2 linked regions of the Callithrix jacchus genome follow. The protein of the gene in region 2 purifies or fractionates together with the protein of the main gene of each other region. This does not show direct contact. Links are inferred from orthologs where the notes say so. Each region holds a gene or a part of one and is shown on either strand. Other genes may lie near its edges.

The links.
Region 1: the proteins of LIN37 (region 2) and TFDP1 purify together in Homo sapiens (co-immunoprecipitation; 3 studies listed by BioGRID and IntAct, with this or other methods). This does not show direct contact. The link is inferred for Callithrix jacchus from reciprocal best matches to the Homo sapiens genes LIN37 and TFDP1.

The regions. Positions count from the first base shown.
Region 1 is NC_133502.1:29,101,853-29,111,375, reverse strand, and holds part of TFDP1 (transcription factor Dp-1), read right to left. Parts: intron 8,429-9,523; coding exon 8,307-8,428; intron 7,201-8,306; coding exon 7,035-7,200; intron 6,559-7,034; coding exon 6,415-6,558; intron 5,937-6,414; coding exon 5,868-5,936; intron 4,548-5,867; coding exon 4,396-4,547; intron 4,001-4,395; coding exon 3,834-4,000; intron 2,708-3,833; coding exon 2,629-2,707; intron 451-2,628; coding exon 303-450; 3' UTR 1-302. UniProt on the Homo sapiens protein: Can stimulate E2F-dependent transcription.
Region 2 is NC_133523.1:31,931,660-31,941,282, forward strand, and holds LIN37 (protein lin-37 homolog), read left to right. Parts: upstream 1-1,683; 5' UTR 1,684-1,854; coding exon 1,855-1,888; intron 1,889-1,995; exon of another isoform or gene 1,996-2,083; coding exon of another isoform or gene 2,084-2,113; intron 2,114-4,635; coding exon 4,636-4,711; intron 4,712-4,891; coding exon 4,892-4,942; intron 4,943-5,261; coding exon 5,262-5,291; intron 5,292-5,372; coding exon 5,373-5,458; intron 5,459-5,543; coding exon 5,544-5,710; intron 5,711-6,457; coding exon 6,458-6,598; intron 6,599-6,684; coding exon 6,685-6,758; intron 6,759-6,831; coding exon 6,832-6,913; 3' UTR 6,914-6,956; downstream 6,957-9,623. Other genes in the region: HSPB6 (heat shock protein beta-6), read right to left, coding at 7,948-8,115, 8,203-8,325, 9,252-9,449.

The sequences.
Region 1 (9,523 bases), on a different chromosome or scaffold from region 2:
AAAAACTGTTCAGGGGCGAAACTGAACTCTGCACTTAGAGAAAACCAGAAAAATGAAAACACAAAATCCTAAAAAGTAAATAAACGCTCTGCATCAGCACACTGGTATCAAAACACACATCCACAGCACGTCCTAATCCTACGGTAAACAACCCTTGCTTATCAGAGGTGCATATCTAAATTCAATAGCTTACCAATATCTTCTTGGGAGTAGGCCAAAAGGAAACAGAAAACCCACATTAAAAAAAAAAGTTTCTTTTCCCTAAACGTTTTCCTGAAGCTGAATTTGAAGTGGGGAGGACGTCAGTCATCCTCGTCATTCTCATTGAAGTCATCGTCATCCTCGTCATCCTCCCCGACGTAGGACACTGGGGTCTCCACCCTGGAGCCACTGTACTGAGACCCGTTGGAGCTTGTGGCCAGCATCCCATCTGCACCGTTGGTCAGGTCACTGCAAGGCAGGAGGCGGATGAGGCAGTCAGTGCAGAGCAGTCCACTCGGCCTCCCCTCACCTCAGGGCCTGCGGCTGAAGGACAGGCTGCGCCGAACAGGTGTCAGTTTTGTCAGTCACACACACAGAACTGGGAGGTCATGAGTGTCTGCACTACAGCACGCCAGCACTCTGGCACTCACTCCATCCCCGTCTGGTTCTCCTCGGACCCTGTCTCCTGGAATCCACAATGCCAGAAATAGGAGGCTGAGCAGAGCCACAAGCTCCCTCTCCCTCACTCATCATTCCATCAGGAGCAGTGCCCAGAGGCAATGAACTGAAAAACTGTTAGATCCCTCCCTCCAGGACTTTCACTCATAACCAGCAACAGGAAAAAAAGAGAGCCTGGGGCAGGACAGGATGTAGTCCAGAGCACGGCTAGAATCTAGCAGCATGGACTGGGAACCCAGAGGGTTTGCAGCACCACAAAAACCTACCACTAATCACAGCTCACAATGTTCCAAGATTTAAAAATGTTTTCCAACTGCATAAAAATATATGCATATATTTTAATATATTTTAATAGTATTTATTAACTACAATGAAAATGAGTCAATATGCCTTTGATGAAGTGATTCTGTATCTTAGAAACACGTCAGAAATGGTGAGAAATTCAGCCGCAAAGCTGCTCACTGTAGTTTTCCTGATAACTGGGAACTGCCTAGATGTCCTTTCATGAGGTACTTTCATAAAATGTCCCATCATGCCACTTTGAAAATTGGTATTTCATAAGAAATGGTAGTAGCTTTGTTTCCATTGTTATGAAAAACTGACAAGTCTGAGAATCACATCCATGAAAAGGATTATCTGATGATGAAAGTCCTAAAAACACCCACATTTCACCTCATGGAAGAACCAGTGTTAAACATGTTTACAGACTGACCCCTACACATTCACACACAGCTGAAGAGAAAGAGAACCGGCCTCGGTCAAAACCTTGTTACCAGGCACTGTGACAAGTCCCTTCTTCTATCACCACTTCACTGATCCTTGCCACAGATCAACGACTCATCACCAGTCTCACCTTACAGGTGAGGCCAAGACTGGAAGAGACTGGCTTTGTAACCCCAGAGCTGGCCAGGAAGCTACATGCACCCCTGACACACTTGTCACATCTCACGGCCACAGCACATTCCAACACAGGCTCATGCGCACTGCAACTCACTACGTCGTGCCCTGTTATCTGGACCCACAGGTTACTAAGTTCTTAGATTTCCAATTAAAGATTTTATGAACACTTAGGATTAATATAAAGTAATACTACATATTGTATCACAATGCAATATAAAAGTCAATAAAATCTTTGTTTTGTTAATATCTGTTGTAAAAGCTATATTTCTCTTTGAAGCACCAAGATAAATACCTAGGGACATCATTCTACCCTATGGGATGGCAGGTCAAAGATTAAATACGAATTTATTTAAATAAAGGCCCTTTAATAGCACAGAAATAATATATATAAATACAATAAAATGTAAGGTGAAAATGCATGGAAGAAAACATGTGCGTTCTGACCACAGATGTGTTCTGAAAAGAAAGTGCACTGTGACCACAAACGTATTCTGAAAAATACATGCACTGTGACCACAAACATGTTCGGAAAATACGTGCGCTGTGACCACAGATGCATTCTGAAAAATATGTGCACTGTGACTGCTCTGAAAAATACGTGGACTGTAACTGCAGATGCGTTCTGAAAAATATGTGTGCTGTGATTACAGATGCGTTCTGAAAAATACATGCGCCATGACTACAAATGCGTTCTGAAATACAAATGCACTGTGACCGCAGACGTGTTCTGAAAAATAGGAGAAAAAAACTAGAAATACTTGCTGTTATTTGGGCTGCCCGGGACAGAAGGATTTGGGTGGTTTTCATTCCTACTTACTTTTTAGGTGATACTTTAACAAAAAAAAAAACAACCACCACGTATTACTTTTAGTTTTTAGTGAGGAGAAACCAACTAGGAAAAGCAGCTCTCCACACAGGGAAAGCCGGTGGGGCCACTGCCTGGGAAGACAAGCACGTCGGAGCAGCCTCAGACCTGATGGCCACATCTGAGACGTCCACCCTGCCTTGGCCCCTGGGCCCCACAGGAGGCCCAGACAATGCTTCTCCCACACCCTCAACCGCTGTCACCTGGCGGAGAACCTCGTGCCGTTAGATGTGGAACCTGCTGTCGTGATGAACACACCTCCAACAGTTCCCTGAGCCATTTCTGAAAAAGGAAAGAAAATGAAGCAAATGGTCACGAAACAGAAACAACACAAGACACACAGACAACCCGCAGTGCCGCAGGATGGACAGCTGGGGAAGCTTCCAGACATCCTTCACTTGTCCAGGATTTTCTGCACTGTGCCACAGAGGACATCCCGCTGTGCAGTCACATAGCCTGTCTTCCCTAAAAAGGCATGAACAGCCTTGCAATACCTGCACACACTGACTTACAAACAGCACATGTGTGCTGCTGTGTCAGTATCATACCCATCATGAAAGAGAATGATCAAGGAACAAGCTGAAACCCTCTTCCTACAGCCCATCCTGGCAGCTCCATGAAGCACACGACAGAGGGCGGGTCAGGGCCCAGCCCACATGGGCAGCCAGACCCCACTCTCAGCTGATGATATGGACCAGCCAGATTTTCACAAGATCTGGGATGGTTTAGGAGCTCAGGGAGGAATCTCTGACCCTCTCAGGGAGTAAGTCCACACCCAAAGTTTAGGCTGACAAGAAAAGGATTGGCAGATACAGCACCTTCACAATTTCTCACCTTAAAGCCACCCTATCTAGGCTGGGACCCTACGGCCCCACGGAAAGAATTCACCAGAATCAGAAAAAAGTCCCTTCAACAAAAGCTCCTGTGCTCCCGGCCCTCCAGAGCAGGCTGCCAATGATGCTGAAATGCTTTTTCTTGGTCACTTTGCCCTAGTGACCAATCAGCTACTGTCAGTGGGGGGAGGGAGGATCAGCAATCCAACTGCACTCCTCAAAGAATCTCAGCTTCTCCTATTTCTGGGCCTACTTGAAGGGTAAAATCCTGACTTAGCACCTCCTCACACAAGCCATATGGGAAATCCACATAAGCCTCCTGCAGACTCAAGGCCCTGTATCCAGCAAGTGAGGGCATTGGCTGGACCCCGCCCCAGCCGCAACCCCACACCCATGCCCCTCACAGCCCCTCTGTCATTGCTCCTGGCCCTCCGTACTTGGGCCCAATCTCGGCAAGACACACCCCGAGCCAGGAGGGGAGGGAGCTATCCAAGGCTGGGCCCATTCCTCACACCGGGTTATCTAGGAATGGAGTTATCTGGTTAGCCACATCGGGTTATCTGGGAACCGCTGACCTGTCACGTATGGCTCCAGAGCCTTTGGGACCAGACTTCTGGCCATTTTAAGGTCTTCGGCAGAGCAGCTCCCGGACTCCAGCCCGCACGCCATGCCCATCCGCTTTAGCACTTCTATGTCATCGTGGATTTCAAATGTGTTATCAAAATTAAACAGATATTCGAATCTGAAGGGGAAAGGCACAGTCAGAAAGACAGGGTCTCCCCGCAGAGGCAGTGCATGCTGGGGTAGAGCCAGGACAGCTGACCTGCTGCCCGCCACACACAGCCTTCAGGATCCCAGTCCTCGGCATCTCCTCACAGAATTTATAAACTCAGAAGTAAATGAGATAAGAAGCAAATCAAGGCCCATTCTCTCCAGGAGGACACGCCCTAAGGCACGCGCTCCTGGGACACAGACTTTCCACCAGCTGCCCGGCAGCTGCCTCCCGCCACCCCATGATGGACAGCTACCCCAGCAATTTGTGCAACATTTAAACTTGTCCTAGGGACAATCCCAACAGGGTCAGCTCCCTCAAAAAGACACGCACAGTCTGGAAACGTCTGCCTACCCACAACCTACTTGTCGTTGGAGATGCTACAGTCAATGACAGTCTTCTTGCTGGTGTTGACGATGATGAAGGGCAGGTGGATGACCGAGTTGGGTGGCGGCGGCCGGCTGGCCTGCTGCTCTGCATGCCGGTTTCTCTGCACCAGGTTCTTGAAGGCAATTTGCTAAATAAAGAGGAGCCAGGTGGCACATGGCGGCACAAGAACGCAGACCCTGTGCTCAAGGGGTCCTCACAGCCCTCCCTGTGCCCACACAACAGCGATGAGTTGCCTTGGACATTTGAAAGGCCAGCACCGGCCGCTAGGTGCTGACCCCTGCAACCCCTGGAGAAATGCAGTCAGGAAATGGCATCCTGAGGGGAGAACTGAGCGAGAGCAGGTGCACAGCCATCTGTGCCTGGGATAAAAGCATCCTCTGTGACAAGGGTGCTCAACTGAACACCAGTCTTGGAAGTCGATTCCCTGCTGTCCGTGAACTCTGAGACCACCCACACAGTGGCACCAATGGGGTGACAGCCTTGGAAGGGGTGCTGTGCTGAGGACTTTGCCCACTCCGGAAGGTGGAACACGAAAGGGCCCGTGTGCTGCAGAGGTGCTTCTCGGGGAGAATGGGCCCTGCAAGGCTGAACCTAGGGCCAGGCCGTCAGGGCCCCAAACCAAGTGTTCCACTTGGAAAGAGCTTCCCTGCTTTAATGTAGAGCCAGGAGAATCCCTTCCACTCCCGGCCACCTTGGATCTCACCCCGCTTGGCAGGCACTAGGACACTGGCAGGCAGAACCGTCCCTCCTGACAGTCCCCACAGCCCCCAAGGAGCTCCCACCCACGAGCCTCCATCACCACGGCCGCCACACCGTCCCCTCTGGGAGGGCTTAAGCATACCTCTGTTAGGGCAGCAGCCAGCTCTACAACGAGCACCTTGCATCCAACCCCCTCCACGCCAGACACGGAGCCCCCAGGGGTACCCCCTACCCTCAGCAATCAATGGGAGGTAGGGGAGGCCAGCTCCAGAGCCCTGACCAGCACTGTCAAGACCCAGGTGCGCAGTGCCCACCACAGTTTTGGAGGCCTCGCCTGGGCCTGGGCCTTGGGTTAAGCACCTCTGAGGGGATTTTCCAAATGTTGCTTTTGCATGAAGTCATCCCTCCAACTGTGTTTTGCCTGTTTAGACACTGTGACACGGGATACGCACATATACACACATGCATACATGCACATATGCACACACACGTACAGGCACATGTACACAGGCACACACGCAGGCAGACACAGGCACAGACGCATGCATATGCACAACCTCGCTCTGGGAACCAGGCCCACGTTGCCACACCCATGAGATGAACTCAAGGATGTTCATGAAATTTACATTCAGAATCTTAAAGCAGTCATTTGATTTACCACACAGGAGTGTAACCCAAGCTGGTACACTGCTGTTATAAAACTAAGTGAGTAAAATAAAAATTACCCACCTCCAAAGTATTCTCTTACCTGTAGAATAAGTTCTTGAAGTTGAGACTGTTTCTGTTTTATTCTTTCAAGTCTCCTCTGTCTTTCCACCTTCAAAAACAAACCACCCAAGCAGAGAATCATCACAATTGTTCCCTACAGCGTTTAAAATAAAACCCATATCCTCGCAGTGTTACCTATGTTTACCTTGAATTTAATCGAAGGGATATGGACAAATCTAGACATAGCAGGTGCTACGAGATACAGGTGAGTTTTTCTTTGATTGTAAACTATACCTTCTCCCCTCTCATTTCTTGGATTTAACTATGTTATCTAAAAGGAAAAAAAAAATCCTCCAAACAAGGATTCAGAATTAACCTACAGTCGAGTTTAACACACTCTAGTGGGCCTGGGCCAGCCACGCTCCCTCCCAACAGCCGAGACTGAGAAACGCAGGGAGACATCTGTCTACATGACCGTCTGCCAGCCAGACACAAAGAGCACAAGCACACGGAGCCCAGACCCGACTGAGTGACCAATGACAAAAACATCTACACAGACCAGAAGGGAAATGAAGGCTGAAGGGCACCTCTAAGTTCTGACATTCCTGAGCCGAGTTGGTGGGCAGACCAATCCACTTGATCTCCTTCTTCTCCTTGGAGATGATGTTCATAGCCATCAGCACGTTTAAGGCATCGTAGACGCGCCGTCTTATGTTCTTCTGGTCATAAGCCTGGGGATGACAGGGAGTGGTTTCCAAATGATCCAAAAGAGCCTGTGGATCCCACCTGAAACTGTAGGCCATGTGCACTGGCTCAAAGGGGCACCCCGCTCATGGAGCTGTCACCGCAACATGTCCTCGGGGAGTGCTCCCACCCTACAGATGATGCAGGCCGAGACAGGGCTGTGCGAAGCCCGAGTGTGTGCCAGGACGGGAGCTGGGGTCTGTCGAGGGTGGAACCCAGCGGGTGAGGAAGGCGTTACTGCATTTCTGGGCAGGGGAAGCTGGTGGAAGAGCAGAATCAGCCCACCTGCTCACTCACTGGAGATGACACAGCATCCTGCCAGCAAATGGGGTGGGAAAAATTCTTTCATGTTGTACTTGGAATTTTCTGCATGTTTTTAACTGTTCCCAATTTTAAAAGGGTGAAACATGCCACACTGTCGGGTTCGGCTACTCAGCCTCTCGAGCCCCCAGCACACACTTACTGACTCGTTTGGTAAGATGTGGTTGTCAGCAGCGCTGAACTCTGCAACCAGCTCGTCCGCCACTTCGTTGTAGGATGTGGTCCCTTTCCTCTGCACCTTCTCGCAGACCTTCATGGAGAAATGCCGCAGGCCCTTGCCATTCTTCTCTCCTTTCCTGTTGCGCTTCCTTCAAAATACAAAGGAAAAAAGAAGCGACCGTCAGCACTCTTGAGCATCAGCAGAATCGAGGAATGCTTGTACCTGAGAGCTCCAATGAGCTGCACAAAAGGGGGCCACGTCCCACAGGTGCAGCAGATCCAACACGTGAGCAGGCCAGGACCCCCAGCCGAGCCCCCAGGCCCAGTGCTTCTGCAGGTCAGAAGGTGAGTGTCTCCCCGGCAGGCTGCACCTCCATCCTTCGAAGTGTCGGGAAAAACAGGAGGCGTTCCCAGGGCCTGAATCAGTGTGTGGGAGGCATGTCAGTACACCAAGCACCACTTTTCTAAAGAGGGCAACTGGCAACAGGAACGATGGGACGTCTCGGTGTAAATTGGGGAATTTTTAGGACAAATTTCAGCAGGCTATAATCTCATACAGCTGTGATGGCCGCCTGACAACAGGTGCAAACTACTAAGTGTGCTTCAGGTCAGGGGACAACCCAACTGCGTACACTCTGGTCAGTCCCCACATCGAAGGAAAGGCCTCTCAAGGTTTGGTTCCTAACTGGTGAAGCTTTAGGCGCTGAGACAGGCATACTTTTGTAGCCGCGTGTGTTTGTGTGTGTGTGTGTGTGTGTGTGTGTGTGTTGTGTGTTTTAAGGAAAGACAGAGCTCGTCAGATTTTGCTTTAGTGGAAGGAGCAGCTCTGGTGGGACCACCCGCGGGGGCCATAACTCCCGGGGCCGTAGAGGCTGAATTCAGAGTCAGAGGCTGAAATCCGTCCCATGTGCTCCCAGCGCAGACGAGGAAAAGTCTCAAGTCCTGCAGCGAGAACAAGGCCAGCTTCTACCTGTCTTGGTCAAGAGCTGCCAGCCCCTCAAAGAGCACCCACTCACTATACCAGACACCAAGTGGGGTGGGCGGTGCCCAGCCTGACTTCTCTATGACCAAGGCAGTGCGCCTTGGCCGCACACCTGTGCAGGGCAGGATGATGGGTGGGTATGATTCGGAGGCTGACATCAATGCGCGTGGGAGCCCCATCGCACAACTATGTGACACGCGTGGCCCAGGAGAACGTGGAGCTGCGAACCGCAAGCAATCCTACAACTCTAAGGGTCCAGAGGGAAGTGCTCACCCGGCAGACCAAGGTGAGGAGTCGGAAGGCTGGTTCTGAGAGGCAAAGTGAGTGCTGGGGGTGTGTGGGCTTCCTACCACGAGGGTGTTTGATGCTGCTGGTCTCTGAGGCGTACCAATTACCTACAGTCAAAAAAGACAATTCAGTCAGTCAGTCCCCTCCCACACGGCGAGGGTGCCACGCCCACCATCTGCTCGCCATCCGCAGCCACTGCTGAATTCCATTAACCGCAGTGAGCAGGAAAGACGCCCGGGGGTGGGCGCATCCTACACAGTGACGGCACCACCACGCCTGTTCTGAACATGGCTCACCTTCCTCTCATCAGCCACAGGCATCTTCTCCAATTAGACACAAGCAACAAGTAACTTTGGATGACCCAAGCAAGCCAAGAACAGGACAGGGCAGAGCGTGACCCCCAAACCACACACAAAGGGCTAACGGTGGAGGTGAACAAGGGGGCGGATCAGATTTCCATACAGGGCCCCTCGGCACGTTTCTATTTTTCCCTTCACCCTCTTTTACTTCTTTTTAATGATATGGATGAGGATGAAACTGTACCCTTCCACGGTACTAAAAAGAGGCCTGAAACCAAAAACTGCTCTCAAAAGACAAAAGCACAGACAAAGTGACAGCAGCTGCTCCCCCAGCCAGCAGGGTGACAGCCACATGGTGAAAACCATCGTATGGTCACGACCAGGTAGCCAGGGTTACCTGGTAACCCTGCGCCCTGGAGCCCTGTCAGGGGGAGCCCACACCCACAACAGCATGAGGCAAGAAGGGAGGGTGACCAGCACTGAGAGCAGGAGGCGAGGGAGTCCATGCGCCCATGGGGCTCACACACCTGGGCCCCTCTGGGGGGAACCAGAGGCAACGCCAGTGTGGACGCTGACCCACCCACCCCACCCCACAGCACACCTGAGATGGCAACAACTGTCTCTTCCTTAAGGAAATTGCTGGCTGGTTTGACTTTTAGCAAAGTCTTATCACTTTAGTTCCATCATGGATGTTCAAGTGTTCATACCTGGGGACACGCAGACATTCCCTCGTGGGGGCAAATAAAACTGACTTTTCAGAGATCTTGTTGCATGACTTTATCTAAACTGGAAACACTATTTCTCAGGAAATGTTAAGTCATTCAATCCACAACAAATCAAAGTGCCTCAGCAATTAAACTGCTTGTGTGGACATGCAGTTTCTGTTACAGGGATTGGAGCTGG
Region 2 (9,623 bases):
TCACTATGTTAGTCAGGCTGGTCTCAAACTCCTGACCCGGTGATCCACCCACCTCGACCTCCTAAAGTGCTGGGATTACAGGTGTGAGCCCCCACGCCCAGTTTAGTGTTTCCATTTCTAGGGGCTGTTATCCTGTACTGGTAGTCGTGAATTCAAAAGCATAACTTTCCTACTCTGGGCTTCAGTATTCTTATCAAAAGTGTAGATCAGGAATCTACCTCCTAGGATTTATCTGGGCCAAGACGTGTGATAAATAGAAGTTTCCCATTTTCTGAAGGAAGTGTTGTCTGTAAAAATAAAAGTAGTCAAGAGCTTTCACATGGAATCCTTCCTTGGCCATCCATCTTTTTTTGTTGTTGGTTTGTTTTTTTGAGGCGGAATCTCACTGTGTTGACCAGGCTGGAGTGCAGTGGTGAGATCTCACCTCACTGCAGCCTCCACCTCCCGGATTCAAGTAATCCTCCTGCCTCAGCCTCCCGAGTAACTGGGATTACAGGCATGCGCCACCATGCCCCGCTACTTGGCCATCCATCTAATTCAAAATTCAATCACCACCTTGATATTGTTACATCCCTTTCAGGCTATGCTGTTTTGTGTGTATGGGGGGTGGGGTCGCTAGGGTTTTTTTTTTTTTTTTTTTTTTTATGAGATGGGGTTTCACCATGTTGGCCAGGCTGGTCTCAAACTCCTGACCTCAAGGTGATCCACCCACCTTGGCCTCCCAAAGTGCTGGGATTACAGGCTTGAGCCACCACACCCAGCCTGTTTGTTTTTGTTTTTCTAGATGGAGACTTGCTCTGTCGCCTAGGCTGGAGTGCAGAGGCGCGATCTAGGCTCAAGGCAACCTTCATCTCCCCGGTTCAAGCAATTCTTTTGCCTCAACCTCCCGGGTAGCTGGGATTACAGGAGCGTGCCACCACACCCGGCTAATTTTTGCATTTTTAGTAGAGACGGGTTTCACCATGTTGGCCAGGCTGGTCTCGAACTCCTGGTTGCAGGTGATCTGCCAGCCTCGGCCTCCCAAAGTGATTTACAGGCGTGAGCCACCGTGCCCTGCCCAACCTATATTCTTTCTCCTATTACATTTCACTTAAAATATTTTACTTGTTTACCGTTTCTCTTCCATACTTTAAAAGATAAGCTCCAGTACGGCAGGGATTTTTGTCTGTTCTGTTCCTCGAGGTGTCTCCAATGCATAGAAGAGTGCCCGGAACACAAATATTTGCAAAATGAATGAAGTTGTACCTGCAAGGAGACTAGCAGTTACCTGGCACCTAGGGAGTGCTCAGTGAGAGGGAACCCAACGTTATTTTACATTAGTCTTCCTCTTAGGAATGGAGAGACGCCAACGGTTGGTTAAATCCTTGGTTAAATCCGGTATGGAACTAAATCGGTGTAGCCGAAATCTTCTAACACTACAAATCCCAGAAAGCCTCGCGATGCCTTAATCCTTTCTTTCCCACCGTGCCCCGCGCGGCGCAGGCGCTGTTACTCGGGGTGAATCTCGGGAGCTGAAACTACACCTCCCAGGAAGCTGGGCGGTCGATGGTTTGTTTCCGGCAGCAAAGCCCCAGGAAGGTGGGATCTAAAGCTGGTGGCCTACGGAGGAAGCTCTTAATTGGTCAGGATATGAGACTGACGGCTGCATTAACTAATAGAAAAGAGATACTGCCGAAGGGGCCCGTCCACAGAAGGGAGCAGGCCACGATACAAGCAGTACACGACCGAAGGCGGAGGACCCGTCGCCCATGAAGCTAATCTTTGAACTGTCTCCGCCCGCCTCCCGCCTTGATTTGTGATCCTAGGCCCTTTGGGGCTCGTCTGACCCAGCTAGCCAGATCCCGGACCCAAACCATGTTCCCCGTGAAGGTGAAAGTGGAGAAATCAGGTGAGGACCCCAATTTCGGGGGCCTGTCGGGAGCATCGGGTTGACAGTGTGGGAGTCCCGTAGAAGGGAGTATTGAGGAAATGGGACTACGCGACTTCTCCCTGCAGCCACCTGACAATCGCTGTATCAGGCAGCGAGCGTTGCCTACCACCCTCATCCCCGCTGGGTCTGTGCTTGAAGTCGCCTTGAGATTGAATGATGGTGGCTCAGGCAGTGCGGTGCGTGGTAAGACCTGGGGAATCCTGAGCCGGTAACTCTGAGAAGGGCCCTTTCTTTCCTCTTTTTTATTTAACATTTTAAAATATTTAAGTAGAGATGAAGGATCGCCATGTTTCCCAGGCTGGTCTCTAACACTGGCCTCAAGCGATCCTCCCGTCTCAGCCTCCCAAAGTGTTGGGATTACAGGCGTGAGCCTCCGCGCTCGGCCGAAAAATCCGCTTTTCTTGGCTCCCCCTCGGTTTCCCCATTTCCAGCAGTGGTCAGAGTCACACATTTTGCTGTGCGTCTGAAGTATAGGCACTGTTCATCCTCACAGTCACTATATTCCAGTAATCCTAGGAAGTAGGAATTGTGGTCGATGTGGAAACTGAAGCTCAGAAAGAGGTCATTTTGGGTTGGGCCAGAGCTGACGGGATCCCAGGCCTGGCATGGTGAGAGCAGTGGGAGGGGTACAGAATTTAGACACAAAGGTAATAATAGTACAATGATGTAGGATGTCAGATAGCAAAAGTGTTATCAAAACAAAGTGGGAGGCCGGGTGCTATGGCTTGTGCCTGTAATCCCATCACTTTGGGAGCCCAAGGCCTGGAGATCACTTGAGGTTAGGAGTTTGAGACCAGCCTGGCCAACATAGCAAAATGCTGTCTCTATTAAAAAAAAAAAAGAAAAAGGATTTCAACATGAATTTTTTAAAAAAAAGAGCAAAAAAAAAAAAAAAATGCCAGGTGTGGTGGCATGAGCCTGTAGTCTCAGCTACTCAGGAGGCTGAGGCAGGAGGATCGCTGGAGCCAGGGAGGCGCAGGTTGTAGTGGACTGAGATCACACCATTGCACTCCCCCAGTGAACTGAGATCACGCCATGGCACTCCAGCCTGGGTAACAGAGTGAGACCCTGTCTCAAAAAAAAAAGAAAGAAAAGTGAAGGGAGTCTGACTACAAATGATGGTGAGGGAAGGTATACACCTGTGAGTACCAGTCTGAGAAGTGCAGACTCCACCCGTGGGTGCTATGGAGTTATGGAAGTTTCCAAGCAGGGGAGGATCAGGGTCAGGTTTGTTATTTTTCAGGAAGATTCCCCTGGCCACCTGTGAAGGGTGGATCAGAAGGGAAACTGAGGCAGGGAGCCCAGGGGGAGCAAAGGACAGGACCAGGATGTGTAGAATAGGGAGGAGGTGGGTGGGAGAGACACTGGGGAGGCCGAGTGGACAGGCCATGAGGTTGCTGGGCTGAGGTAGGGGAGGGAGAGGGGTATCCATGGTGAGGTACAGGGAGGGACTTGGGGACAGTGAGGCCACCCTTGAGACAGAGGCTTCAGGCCCAGGTCGGGGGTTCAGGAGAGAAGCTGGGCCTGGGGAGAGTTGTAGGGGTGATCTCTACCCTCTGCATCCACCCAAGGCTTTGCTACAATCTCAGTTGCCCCCTTCCCCACCCTCATGCTGTTTCTCCTCTGAGTTATGTCTGAATGCCCTGTGTCTGAATCCCTGGGCATCTCAAGAAGTCCCAGGACTGGCCAGGCAATTTCCCAGGTGTCCCCTCCAGGTTCTGAGCACTAGAGCCAGAGCTCCCACCAGTAAGAAGGGCAGAGCAAATACCCCTCAAAGGTAGAAGATTGTAACATCATCACTTCCTCAAGTTCTGTGATGACAGGAGGTAGCCACAGGCTGACAGGGCAGGAAGGTGGGCCTAGATCTCATTTCCTGAGTGGGGAAAGAAAAGCCCAAACAGGATGTTTTAGGTGAAATCTCCCAATTTTTAAATGTCAGCTCATTCAGATTTAATTCAGATTTAAAATTATACCACTGTTTGGCCAGGCATGGTGGCTCACACCTGTAATCCCAGCACTTTGGGAGGCAGAGACAGGCGGATCACAAGGTCAGGAGTTGGAGACCAGCCTGATCAACATCGTGAGATTCCATCTCTTTGCAATTGTTTTTGTTATAAATTTATATTACATTAAAACAAAAAAAATTTTTTTTTAGACCGAGTTTTGCTCTTATTGCCTAGGCTGGAGTGCAATGGCGTGATCTTGGCTCACCGCAACCTCCGCCTCCTGGCTTCAACCAATTCTCCTGCCTCAGCCTCCCGAGTAGCTGGAATTACAGGCATATGCCAACACGCCCAGCTAATTTTGTATTTTTAGTAGAGATGAGGTTTTTCCATTTTGGTCAGGCTGGTCTCGAACTGCTGACCTCAAGGTGATTCACCCACCTCATCCTTCCAAAGTGCTGGGATTACAGGCATAAGCCACCATGCCCAGCCCTAAAACAAATTTTTTTAAAACCCAAGGCTCCTAAGCTAAGGTGATTGGCCTTACCTCCTATCACAGAGTGATCATGTGTGACAGCTCTGGAACTAAGAGCTCTTGGCATCACTCCAGCCATCTCTGTCTGCTGCACCCTTTCAGGCTGCCTGGGCCTGGCTCTGAGATTGGCTGGGGCAGAGGACACTCATGCCTTTCCCTGGCCCAGTCAGCTGCCCACCTAGCTGGGGCCTAGGAGCTGACTCCTGCTGGGTCCCCTCTTGCCTCAGAGCTGGAGATGGCCAAAGCCCGGAACCAACTGGACGCCGTCCTGCAGTGTCTGCTGGAGAAGAGTCACATGGACAGGTGGGCCAGCGTGGGGTCAAGGCCCAGGCACCCTGGCAGGTCGGCCCTCTGATCCTGGGTGGATTGGGTGGGACCCCAGAGGCTGACTTGGGGAGGAAGGTATCTAATGGAGAGGCCGCTCAGTGCCTTCCTTCTCTGGGGCCCTGGAACCCTAGGCTGAGAGATCTTTTCTGCCTCTAGGGAGCGTCTGGATGAGGAAGCTGGGAAAACCCCCTCAGACACCCACAATAAGTGAGTTTTTCTGACTGGATGTGGAGCTGAGAGTTTGTAGTTGGTAACTTTTTCCCTTACCCAAGCCCTGACCACTCTGCCCAGTGCTTCCTCCATCTCGGTCCTGACCAGTTCACCTGTATGAAGACCCTGCGTCAGGAGAAGCTTAGGTCCCCTCGTGGTTGCCACCTAGACCCCCATGGGTATGGGTGGAATAAAAGGCCCAAGGGGCAGGTGGGGTTCATGTGCATATCTCAGGTTTGATACCAGCGTCCCCAGGGTGCCCTCTGCAGGGTTTTGCACAGGCATTTGTCTGAGGGTCAACTTTCTTTCCCCACAGGGACTGCTCCATTGCATCCACTGGCAAAAGGTAAGGTGACAGGGTCCCAACCAGCTGACCAGAGGCTCCCAGCCCCTACCCCAGTCCTGACACTCCCCCCTCCCTACGCAGGCCTTCTGCCCGCTTCCCCCACCAGCGGAGGAAGAAGAGGAGGGAAATGGATGACGGGCTGGCTGAGGGAGGGCCACAGCGATCCAGTGAGTCGACTGGCCCGAGAGGGTAGGCAAGGAGCTGAGGGGCTATGCAAGGATGCTCACACACCTCCCATCCCCACCCTCCCAGACACGTATGTGATCAAGCTGTTCGATCGGAGTGTGGACTTGGCCCAGTTCAGTGAGAACACGCCGCTCTACCCGATCTGCCGTGCCTGGATGCGAAACAGCCCTTCTGTGCGCGAGCGTGAATGCTCTCCCAGCTCACCCCTGCCCCCGTTGCCTGAGGATGAGGAGGTGGGATGGGTGGTGGGCCCCAGCCCAGCAGCCTGATGCCAGGGCAATGGGTGGATAGGCACAAAGGATCCTCCCCGTAACCTAGTGGGGTAGATGGACACAGGTCCCTCACATGAATGCTGGATCAGGCCAGGCATACAGATGTGCACCCTTAGCCTGGGGTGTGGATGGAGGTCCCTAGGGAAGACATACGTAGCCACCTGGCCTGGGGGACAGGGAACAGGGTTGCCCTGGGTAGTTAGATATGAATCTCCAAGGTCAGGCGTTCCCAAGAGCCGAGGGTCTAGACGGGTCCTTAGTACCGACCTGTGGCCACCAGGCCTTGGGGAGCAGATGGGCTGGGCAGGAATGGATGGGGGTCTGTAAGCCATCTAGCCCAGGAGGGTAGACAAGGGTCCCGAGGACAGACATATTAGGGCCCTTCACACTGTCAAGAGTGGACAGAACTTCCTAGATGGCACAGATGTGACCCCCTAGGCAGGATTCCCTGAGGCAGGCAGACGTGACTCCCTGGGCTGACAGGTGTAGATGGGATCTCTGGGCTGGATAGGAGAAGACAGGGGTCCCCGGGCAGGCAGACCTGACTCCCTGGTTAGTTGAGGTGTCTGCCCTTCAGACATGCCTCCTGTCTGAGTCACTTAGTGTGCCCCTCATGCTGTTTGTTGCTGGGAAAGGAGGGATGAGTGTGGATTCCCAGCCCTCTGGTCTGACTCTCTTGGGCCTGGCTTGGGGCCCTTGTGTCCCCAGGGTTCAGAGGTCACCAACAGCAAGAATCGTGATGTGTACAAGCTGCCACCACCCACACCACCCGGGCCACCTGGAGATGCCTGTAGATCCCGCATCCCATCTCCGCTGCAGCCCGAGATGCAGGGCACCCCTGATGACGAGGTAAGTGCACCAGGCTGGCTCGAGGTTGTGGGGCACATGTGGTGGGGCTCAGACCTGACCACTCAGCCCTGCCTCTGTCCATGCAGCCCTCCGAGCCTGAGCCCTCACCCTCCACACTCATCTATCGCAACATGCAGCGTTGGAAACGCATCCGCCAGAGGTGAGCGTCCCCCAGCCTGCTTGCGCCTCCTCGGGCCTCTTGCAACTGCTGAGTCTTCCCTCTGCCTCCCCAGGTGGAAGGAGGCCTCTCATCGGAACCAGCTTCGTTACTCAGAAAGCATGAAGATCCTACGGGAGATGTATGAGCGACAGTGACTTTCCCAGCTCCCCCCACCCCAGTAAACATCTCCCAACTCCACACTGGTGTCTGTTCCAGTTCATCCTTCCTGGCCCAGACACAAAGCAGTTGGCAGAGCTCCAGCAAATTTATTGGGACAGTGAGCCTGGGAAAGTGACAGAGTCGTGGCAGGGAGAAAGGCTATGGGGAATCAGAGGGGGTGCTCGGTTGGGTCTTGAAGGAGAAGAGGTGGATGGGAGGTGGGTTGCCAAGGAGATTTCGTGTTGGAGACTTGGGGATCAAGACAAAGGGATGGGGTGGGGGGTCTAGTCAGAGTTGGGGAGGGGGCCTAGGACATCCATGCAGAGTCTGGGAAGGTTGGGGCAGGAGAGTCTGTACAATTTGGGATTGGATGTTCTGGTTGGCCTGGAATAGGTGTCCAAGAGTTGGGGCGGTCAGAAAAGAGTTCCAGAGCCTGGTGTGGCTGGCTGGAGTTTTATGGCAGAAAATGGGCTGGAGGGGCCAGTTGTGGATTGTCTGGTTGCAAGGGAAGGTTTGGGTCTTGGGAACCAGGCCCGGATGATCTGGAGCGGGAGGTCTGTGCAGTGTGGAACATTTGTGGCGTGGAGGCATTGTGCCTGACTGTCCTGGGGTTGGGGGAGGGCTGTCTACACCATAATTTGGTGTCAAAGTAGGGAAGGGATGGAAATATGGTACCCGGATATCTTTGTAGAATACTCAGAAGGAAGTAGAACCGTGGGGCTATATGCCAAGAAAGTGGGTCGGTGGGGCTGAGACTGTCGGCCGAGGGTTAGGGGAGTGCTGGTAGGGTCTGGAAGCCAGGGAGGTGTTGGTGTGAAGTCTGAAAGCTGGAGGAGGTGTGACAGTGAGGGTGTCAGAGGAAGGGGCTAGGTTATCAAGGCAGTGTCTAGGGTGGAGGTCAGGGCAGAATCCAGGAGTGGCTGAGAGGACAGTTCTGGGCGCGATCAGGACATCTGGCTGGGCGGAGTCAGATCAGCTTTAAAAGACGGAGCCTGAGGAGGCTCCCGGGGTGCGGGCGTGGCCCCGCCCCCTACTTGGCGGCGGCCGGTGGCGGTAGTGGGGCCTGGGCCGACGCTGGTGCGGCCTGGATGGACAGGACGCCCTCGGGGGACAGCGCGGACGTCACGGCAGCGGGATCCACGCCAGGAGGCAGGCGGTAGCGGCGGTGGAACTCCCGCGAGACGAATCCGTGCTCATCCTGGAGGGGAAGGAGGCTTGAGCGGCCCCGCCCCTCCGGCCCGGCGGCGCGCGTGCCCGCTCTAGCCCCGCCCCCGCCGCGGCTCACCGGGCGCTCCTCGTGGCGCGCGTGCACCTCCACGTGTTCGCCCACCACCTTGACAGCGATTTCCTCCGGCGAGAAGTGCTTCACGTCTAGCAGCACCGAGAAATGTCCGGGGTCTGTCGGCACCTGCGCGCAGTGAGCGCGGGTGGGACTGTCATCGGGCCATGCCAGGCTCGCGGGACCCACCCAGGGAAACCCCACCCCATCGGTTCCGTGCTGCAGCTCACTCTGGCCTCCCGAGCTCAGCAATCTGCTCTCCTACTGGGAATCACCCAGGACCTCTTCACCCCGAATAACGGGGATTAGCCCTCCTCCTGTAATATCTGGGATTGCGCTCTCCCCCGCAGTGATGAGGCTCCCTTCCCCTGCAAGGTCAGGAACCTCCGCCCTCCCCGGTGTCAGGGAATCCTCCGAAGTCACCACCATGCACCCCAGGGCACTGATTCCCCGGCTCCCTCTTCAGAGCCCCGGGTCCCTTCTCCCCCAGCCCCGACAAACTCGCCAAGATGCCCCTTCCCCCGTCTCCAGAATCCTCTGCCTACTTTCCCACTCCGGTCAAGGGACCTCGGCAGCGACTGGTAGCCTTCCCCCACTTCAGAGTGGCCAGGACCCCTTGCTCAAGTCTCAGGCCTTTCCCTTCCTGTTTTGGAGACATGGAGCCACTGCATGAAGTCTCCCAACTCTTCCCCGAGACTAGGAACATTCCTTCCCCTCGGGCAACCTTTAACGCCTCCTTTTACCCAGATTTCCCGGGTCACCAGCCTCCTTCAGATTCAGCAAAACTCCCCTTAGAGCGACCCAGGCCTTCCACTCCCTGGAGAGCTAATGAGACTCCCCAGTCCCCCGACACACACACACCCAAGAGCGACTGGGACCTCCCACTCGATGCAGTGAGCGGGCCTCTGAGATTCCCAGGAACTCCGGAAGCCCCTCGGAGCTGCCGGACTCTCCACCCCGCCAAGGCCAACGAACATTCTGTCACACGCCCCCCACCCCAGGCTGACCCAGACCCCCCGGCATTGCTTGAGTTCGCCCCTCCCCAGGCCTGGCACCTGGGCAACCGGCAGCGCCACGCTGGGTGCGCGCAGGTAGTAGGGGGCGAGCGTGGTGGGGCAGAGCGCAGCCAGTTCGGCCTCCAGCAGCCCCTCGCCGAAGCGCTGGTCAAAGAGGCGTCCGGGCGCCGAAAGTCCGGGCAGTGGGGCCGAGGCGCGGCGCAGCCAAGACGGCTGCACAGGCACCGGGATCTCCATCCTGCTCCTCGCGTTGCAGTGCCCCTGCGTGCGCAGCCGCCGATTTATAGTGAGCCCTGTGCCGGCCCCTCGAAGGGCTGCCCAGGGACACTGGGACCGTGGCCAGACTCAGCCATTAGGAGAGCCTTATTTAGAAACCCAAACAATGACTTCGCCATTTATTAAGTGCCTGCT